2 linked regions of the Canis lupus familiaris genome follow. The protein of the gene in region 2 purifies or fractionates together with the protein of the main gene of each other region. This does not show direct contact. Links are inferred from orthologs where the notes say so. Each region holds a gene or a part of one and is shown on either strand. Other genes may lie near its edges.

Region 1 (4,298 bases), on a different chromosome or scaffold from region 2:
GCTGAGCCCCCCCACATGCCCCCTAATAATAATATTGATTGTTGGCTACACCCCGGGTCTGTTCTGAGAGTCGCGTTGGGGGTAGTAACTCAGGCATCTGCATGATAATCTAACGAGGGAAGTTATTTCTATCTCGCAGATGTGCAGACAAGAATTCAGGGAGGAGAGGACAGGTGCCTGAGGTCACCCAGCTGACTGGTGGCAGAGCCAGGACTTGAGCCCAAGCAGCTGGCTCCGGAGGCCTTGTGCTTTACCAGCACATATAAACAACAACAACAAAAACACTATTAGTACCCGCTTTATGCTAGGCTCTGCATGAGGACTCTCTTCCAGCCCATAAGGTCATGGTGGGAAATTTGCAAATGTCAGTCCCTCCCCTGACTTCCCATTGAGATCTCACAGTCCCCCCCTTCCTCAAACCCTGCCAACAGTTCCCTCGCCTTCTTGATCAGAGATGATCATGATGAAGATGATCAAGATGATCTCCCATCATGATCAGAGATCATCTCGTTTTGGGGTTTTTATGTTGTGTGCCTCTCACCCTCGCTCAAAGAGAGCCAGTGGAGTGGCTTTGTCTATTTGCCACCCATAGTGTCACAGAGGGCGCTCAATAAATATTCATCCACTGCGTGACTCATCAGCAGCAGCATTACCATAACGAAAGTCGCTTCCGTATGCTCAGTCCAACACACAGAAGATGCTCAATAAATGTTTGTTGAGTGAATAATAACATTATAATATAGTCACAATGACTTTATTTTGTCAACATCTTAGTGTCACATAATAGGCGCTTATAAGTACTTTTGGAACGAATAAGAATAACATTAGGAATAAGAATAAAAGCAGCGACGTTTGTTCTGCTCAGAGTGCTACCCACAGTTCGTCATTAAAAAAATTTACTAGTCAGAAAATGTCTGAGTGAAAGAATAAATTAATTAGTAAATAGTTATTGAATGAATGAATGAATGCATGCATGCATGGTTTGGACAAATTTATTCTTTTCCCTCTCCTCCCCACGGGCCTGGAAATATTATTGAGTGCCCAGCGTGGGGCCCTGGGGACACAGATACGAACAGGGCAAAATCCTCCACTGGGGCTGACGTGCCTGTGGGAGAGACAGAAGAAAAACAAGATGAGTGGATGAATGGGTGGATGGATGGGGAAGGATGGGTCAGTGGGTGGGTGAATGGGTGGGGGCTGAGTGGGTGGACGAATGGACGGTCAGGTGCGTGGAGGGACTGCTGGGTGGGTGGGTGCATAAATGGAGATGGGTGATGGGTGGGGGGATGAATGGGTGGGGGTGAGTGGGTCGAAGGCTGGCTGGCTGCTGGCTGGGTGGACCAATGGGTGGTTGGTCGGCCTGGAGACTCCTCCCATCCGCACTCCCGGGAGCAGAGGGAAAGTGAGGCGGGGCAGCTGGCCCCTCCGGAGCCCCGCCCTGCTGCAGTCCTCGCGTCGGCCGACAGCGCCGCTCACCTGCGCGCCTCCCCTTTAAGACGCTCTCACCTGGGCGCTCACCTGCGCGCGGGCGCTTCCGCAGGAAGAAGGAAGCAGCGCCGCCGTCGCCTCCCGGCGCTCGCTCCCCGCCTCCCGGGTCCGCCGGCCGCTACCATGTCCGCCTCGGCTGTCTTCATCCTCGACGTCAAGGGCAAGGTGGGCCGGGCGCGGGGGGTGTCGGGGGCAGGACAGGTGAGGCCGCGCGCCCCTGCGCCCGGGGGCGGCCCCTCCTCGCGGGCGGGGGGGCTCCAGAAAGCCCCGGGAGCGTGGGAACACCCCTCCCCCAATCCCGGGAAGTCCCGGCTCGAAGCCCACCTCCCCTGTTGCCCCTCAGCGCGCCGCGCGCGGGCAGGGCCTTTGCCTCTCGGAGCCTCAGTTTCCCTGTCCGGAAAAATGGGGAGAACGAGGTCCCCACCCGCTGGGAGTGACTGCAACTCGCTGAGCGTCGACTGCTTGGCCCTGTAGCCCCGCTGCAAACATTAGGGGTTCGGTCGGTCGGTCGGTTGAAAGGATTTTTATCACCCTCATCATCCACATGATTAATATTTGGGGAAGACGGCAGGGGCGGGAGACCCTCGTTCCCGTTTGGGGCTGCCTTGTCCCCTCCTGAAGTCCCCTCTCAAGCGCCTTGTCATTTCATATAAAAAACCACGGTGGTTGGGGACCCCTGGGAGGCTCAGCGGTTTGGTGCCTGCCTTCAGCCCAGGGCGTGATCCTGGAGTCCCGGGATCGAGTCCCGCGTCGGGCTCCCTGCATGGAGACTGCTTCTCCCTCCGCCTGTGTCTCTGCCTCTCTCTCTCTCTCTCTGTGTCTCTCATTAATAAATAAATAAAATCCTTAAAAATATATATAAATAAAAAACCAGGGTGGTGGTGAAAGCTCAAGTGCTTGAGGACGGGCTCTGCGAGGTCCTGGTTCTCAGCCCTGGACTAAACCACCCTAGGAGGTAGTACTGTTAGCATCCAGGGCTCACTGCCTGCCAGCCGGCGGCTCTGTGCGATGTATGATCTCTCTTTCTATAATCTTTTTTTTTTTTTTTTTGCCTCCTTCCCCCTCCTCTCCCCTCCCCATCCCCTGATTTCCGCACCTCTTAGAGACCTGGTTCACACCTGCCTTTCTCCAGCTTTCAAATGAAGATAGTGCTGGTGCCCGCCCCACAGGTTGTAGTGAGGACATAATCAGTTAGCAAACACCCAGTCTTTGGTAGGACGCGGCCTGGTCCTCAGTGAGGACCCTGGATACCTTGCCCTGGTCACACACCCGTTTTACAGAGGAGGAAACTGAGGCAGAGAGCAGCAGAGTCTTGCCCTTGCCTGTCAGCCAGGGAGTAGAGTCAGAACCAGGCCCTCTGACGCCCCTGGATGAAGGGTCCCGGATTCCAGCCGTGACCAGGCCTTCTCTGCTCACCCTTAGCCCCTGATCAGCCGCAACTACAAGGGCGACGTGGCCATGAGTGAGATTGAGCACTTCATGCCTCTGCTCATGCAGCGGGAAGAGGAGGGCGCCCTGGCCCCCCTACTGAGCCATGGCCGGGTGCATTTTCTGTGGATCAAACATAGCAACCTCTACTGTATCCAGCCCCCAGCTGGGATCCTGGAGGCCTGGGGTGGTAGCAGCTTGGGCCCAGAGAGAGTAGACTGAGGGCAGAAGTTGCACAGCACATCAGGGGCTCGGGTTGGGGTGGAGGGGATGGACAGAAATGAGGTGAGGGTGGGGGGACAGCCAGAGGATTTAGGATCTGGGCTCCATTTGAGACCTCCAAAACGGCACCTTTTCCTTAACTTTGCTGCACATAGTGGTGGCTACCACGCTGAAGAATGCCAACGCCTCCCTCGTGTACTCCTTCCTCTACAAGACGGTGGAGGTAGGTTCTGGCTTCCCGTTGGCCAGCTGGTTTGTCTGTCCACCCCCCTCCACCCCATTTGCTCTTCTCTTTCAGGATCCATCTCTCCTAGGAAGCTTCCCCTGACCTCCATTGAAACCCCATCTCTGTGTTCTCATTAGCTGCTAAGGGATCATCTCTCCCTATAGGGCAAGGACCAAGCAGGTCTTCAAGAGGGTGCACTGCTCAATCCTGGGCCAGAGAATACTGGGTTGCAGTCCCAGCCCCCTACTCTTCCTGGCTGTGTGACCTTGAGCAAGTCACTTCTCTCAGTGTCTAAACTGAGGGTTACAACAAGTCCCACCTTGGGGTGTTGTACAAATTAGTCAAATTCATATTTATGAGTGCTTCAAACAGGGGCTTAGTACACAGTGAGTGCTCAGTAAAGGTTTGGTGGTGGTGTTAGCGTTAGCACGGCTAGAGAATCCTATAATAATTTGAGTGCTTGCTAAATTGCATTCTCAGTGACCGAGAAAGTGCTCAGTAAATACTTTACAACAAACAAGGAATATGTATTGATTTGTCTCCTGCCAGGCGAAGAGGGGACACAGCTATGCACAAGGCAGGTGCAGTCCCTGCCTGTCCCGAGGAGTTAAAGGGCATGAAGGAGATTGAACAGGACATCATGAGAACCAGTGACTAGGGTGCTAGTCTCACTGTGATACTCAGAGGGGAGGAGGGATGTAGTGGCTTCACTGGGGAGGTGACATTTGAGCTGAGGCCTGAATGACAAGGAGTCCATTGTGAGAAGATTGTCCCAGGCATAGGGGACGGCATATGCAAAGAGGTGAGAACGGAAGGCAGGCCAGTGGGGCCGGAGCAGAATGAAGGATGGAGGGTTTCTCAAACTGTCAGATGACTGATAGGTTCTCTGCTGTGGTTTAGCCTACAAAACTCCCAGAGGCTCTGAACTTGGGGA
Region 2 (4,209 bases):
TTAGTTAAGTCCTGCTTTATACACAAAAGTTTTAAATCCTCATCAAATGCAAGTAAGAGGATTAAGCATTTTGAAAATCTGTTTTGGTATGTAGTTTCCTATTCTTTTTTTTTTTTAATTAAAAATAGTCTTTTGGAAAATATTCAACTTTTTCAGTATGTAAAGAGTTTTTATAAATCACAAAAAACTTGAGGGTGCCTGGGTAGCACAGCTGGTTGAGCTGAGCATCCAACTCTCGGTTTCAGCTCAGGTCGTGATCTCAGGGTTGTGAGTTCCAGCCCCAAGTTGGAGGTAGAGTTCACTAAAAAAATAAAATTAACTCTCAAATCTACAAGGAACAAGCAACTGCTCCCAGAAGAAAATGAATTGAGATTTCCTAAACAATAATGTTTCTTACAAGTATAATCCCACCACCTTAGACAAAATAGACATTCAAGTATGTGATTAATCAACAGTGCAATCAACAGCACTTTGCTTATAATTTGTAAGGCAAAAGGACACTCTCCAATTGAATGTAAACCACTTAAGAATGAACAACGTTTAACTACCAATAATTATAATACAAAATGAATGAGTTGAGTAACACCTGATATTTCTTCCAATAACCTTTTAAAAAATTTAACTCAGAAAAAAATATATATAGCTCAGAAATGAACATTTCAATAACTACATGGGGATACTTGGTAAATGAGTTAGGTATCCTATACACGTTCAGGGGTTCGACAGTTCCTTCAAACCAAAAGAGAAATTCCCTATCTCAAGAGTAAATACACAAATACTAACATACTTTTGAAAAGACTCTTTAAAACAAACAACAAGAACACTATTTACAATGAAAACATTCAGTCTTCTATTGAAACATCATATGACCAGTACAGGAATTTATCTACCTGATAAGAACAATGCACTTAGACATGGCTTAGAAGTATTAAAAGGTTTGATTCAAGTTATGTTTTTTTTCATTTTCCTCTTCACTCCCTACATCGAGTCCATCAAGTTACAAATTTAAATTTCAGCAGTCCCTATAGACTGTAATCTTAAATTATTTGTCTCTCGCAGATTTTAAAACCCAGGCTGCGATGAAATAGAGGGGATTCGATCACACTCGCCTAACTTAAAATGTAGGAAATAATCCGTGAATTAATGTGAAATGCTTTTTACTCAAGCACGCTACACTGCAAACTTACTTTAAGAACAGCATAAAAGTGGTGAGATTATGGACACCTGGAGAGCCTATATTTTTAAGCCAAAAGGTTAAGGGTATAGTCTGACAAGTATTATGGGGAACAGTAGAAGCGAACATTTAAAATTCAACGAGCTCCCCCCCAAAAAAGAAAAAAATCCCACACACGAGGTCTACCTAAGTATTTTTAAGAATCAGCAAAGATCACTGCCGTACGAAACACCTGCAAGTTGAGATCACAAAGAAATCTTCCGTCCTCTCTTCTGTTAACTAATCGCGACAGGAGCCAAAAAAAAAAAAAGTTACTTCCCTTACTACGGAGGTCGGATTAAGATCCTTCCTTCTCAGGCAATTTCCCTGCCCCGGGACATACAACACCAAGACAAGTACAGAAGTGTCAATAAACACCCCCCCCCCCCCCCCAAAAAAGCCAACTGTTCAGCACAGGAAGAGAATTCACAAATGAGAGAAACCTCTGACAGCCTTCTCCCTACCCCTCCCCAAAAGCCATTCAATCAGCTTTAAAACTGCTCAAGTGTGCTCCGAGCGAACGGCCCGATGGACCGCCTTCATCAAACCCTAACAAGGAAACAGAAGCAATCGTCCCGACTCGTCCAGACAGTCGAGAAGATAGAATTAGTAGGAACTGACGTCCGCAGGGTCAGGGCTTTGCGAGAAGGCTAAGCAGTGGGACTCGCGGGTGAGTTCGGGAGTTGGGGAGGGACCCTGAAAATCGGGAAAGAAGTTGGTGGGAAGGTTAGGGAGAGGCGAGGCCGACGTCCGGTTCCGAGGGGCCGGCACTGCGGGGCAGACAGCGACTAACGGAGCCTCTGAAAGACCTTTGGAGAGTTCTACGAAAGACCTGACCCGAGTGCAAGACACGAGAACGCTGATACGTAGCTCGGAGACGACACGCGGGGGTGGGACCCGCCCCGCTAACCCCGGGCTCCCTGAACGAGCCCTCAAGAGAGGATCGAAGCCCGAGAAAGTCGATGGGTCCAGAGGAGGCCCGCACCGGCCGGGCAGCGCCACGACTCCGAACGCAGCCGCGCGGGGAGCCTCCGGGTCCGAGGCCTCGGGTCGGCCCTCAAGAAGTCGGAGCAGCCCCTGGGACTCCGCGCCCCTCCTGGGCCAGCCTCTGTCCTCTCTTCTCGCCCCCTGAAGCCGAGGACCGGACCCCCGGTGTTGACAGGAAGCTTCCGGCCGAGCGCTCCCAGCAGGCGCGGGGCAAAAGAAGCAATATGTTCGTAGCGCCGCGAGTGACACTCACCGGCCCGAAACCTCGAATGAAACCAGCAGCTCCGGGGGCGGCGGCAGCAGTGGCAGCAGGAACCGAACATCCAAAATGGCGGCTCCCTCGGCCTCACCACCGCTACTGCAGGCGGAAGGATCCTCTTAGGAAGCGGGGAGTTTCTAACTAACTTCACGCAGTACTGCAGAAACTTGGGTCTCTATCCCCCTCTCCTTGTCGATTCCGTGTTCCCTAGCTGCAACTTCTTCTACCTCCCCTCTCCTATTAACCAAGAACTCGGACCCCGCCGAGGACTATTTGCCAAGGAGGAGGTGACTGCTCCTAGCAGAGCGACGCAAAGCGTAGCAAGGTACGGGGCGGTCACTGATGACGAGAGACGCTGCTGCCGAGTCACCGCTGCGAAGAGTCTGAGCGAGAAAGATCCGGCTGACCCTGGAAGGCCTCCGAACATTGGTTCCGCTGGCGGGGGGAGGAGCAGGCCGAGCTACCAGGAAGCGGCGGGGGCCACCGAAAGGGGGCGGGACTACCGCGGAGGAAGTGGGCGGGGCGAGGCGAGGCAGGTGGGGGGCGGGGACTTAATACACAAATAGCCCAAACTGCTGCCTCCGGTGTTTTCAGACCTCACCTTTCTAACTTCAGGGACACGCCCCACGTGGTATTGGCTTCCATACTTGTGTGGTATCTCTGCAAAGTATCTTATAAAAAGAGCTAGAGGATGATACAGAAGAATGGATTCCAGACCCAGTACCAGCCCTCAACCTCCTGTATTGGACAAGTCATTGAATCTCTCGGGACTTCAGCTTCCTCGTACGTAAACACAAAGGACTTGGACTAGTGATCGTTGTTAGAACCCTTCCAGACTGGGCTTTTCTCACTGTGTCTCCATCAGCTAAGGACCTGAGCCAGAGAGAGTCTACCCAGACCGTTCCTGGCTTGAAAAATAATTACTAACACCTGACACAAGTATGTTCCACGTGAACTTGATTATCTTAGCCCACTGAAGGGAAAGGTGACTTACCTAAACTAAAATCCTTCAGGTAGATTGGCAGTAAAGTTGTCCTGGAAGTGAATAAAGCACAGCACCTGGCTAGATGCCAAAAAGAACCCGACTAACCATAAATCTGGAGTTTAGGACCTGTCAGAGACAGGAGGTTGCCCTCTCTTCCTTCGACAAGCCCTTTCATGCAGAGATTTCAAAACATTTTCCAGAAATTGAACTGAGGAGGTCCGCCTGTACAGTTTTACTCCTTAACTACTAGGATTTAAAAAGTGACTGGAAACAAAGCCCTGGGGGCGTGATGGTAGTAATTATCACTTTTTTATTATCAAATATTCATATCATACTTTTTATAAAAGCATCTTCCTTGTGTAATCTAATTTGACCCTCCCACCAATTCTTGTTTGACTCAGACTAAACAAGCATAACGAACTTAGTTTCACAAGTAAGGAGATTGAGAGTCACAAACTATTGCTTACTGCAAGACCCTCCTTCTCCCCTCCCACATTGGGATTCTGCTGTTCAGTGCCACCTCCTGAATTAGAAAAGGTACACACCTACCCACCCACCCTCACACTCACACTCAGGGGGGAATCAGCCCAGATGGAAATGATCTGAGGAACAGAATGCTTATGGAATTCAGTTGCCTCCTACCCTGTAGTGCACTACTGTCCAATGCAGCCTTGGATCACGCAACTACTAAGCAGTAGCATAGAACTAGAACATGATGGGACACCTGGGAGGTTCAGTGGTTGAGCATCTGCCATTGGCTCAGAT

The links. The genes of interacting proteins can lie anywhere in the genome.
Region 1: the proteins of AP1G1 (region 2) and AP1M2 purify together in Homo sapiens (affinity purification with mass spectrometry; 4 studies listed by BioGRID and IntAct, counting the BioPlex papers as one, with this or other methods). This does not show direct contact. The link is inferred for Canis lupus familiaris from reciprocal best matches to the Homo sapiens genes AP1G1 and AP1M2.

The regions. Positions count from the first base shown.
Region 1 is NC_049241.1:50,992,657-50,996,954, forward strand, and holds the start of AP1M2 (AP-1 complex subunit mu-2), read left to right. Parts: upstream 1-1,494; 5' UTR 1,495-1,611; coding exon 1,612-1,653; intron 1,654-2,910; coding exon 2,911-3,067; intron 3,068-3,293; coding exon 3,294-3,361; intron 3,362-4,298. UniProt on the Homo sapiens protein: Subunit of clathrin-associated adaptor protein complex 1 that plays a role in protein sorting in the trans-Golgi network (TGN) and endosomes.
Region 2 is NC_049226.1:78,167,899-78,172,107, forward strand, and holds the start of AP1G1 (AP-1 complex subunit gamma-1), read right to left. Parts: upstream 2,810-4,209; 5' UTR 2,454-2,809; intron 1-2,453. UniProt on the Homo sapiens protein: Subunit of clathrin-associated adaptor protein complex 1 that plays a role in protein sorting in the late-Golgi/trans-Golgi network (TGN) and/or endosomes.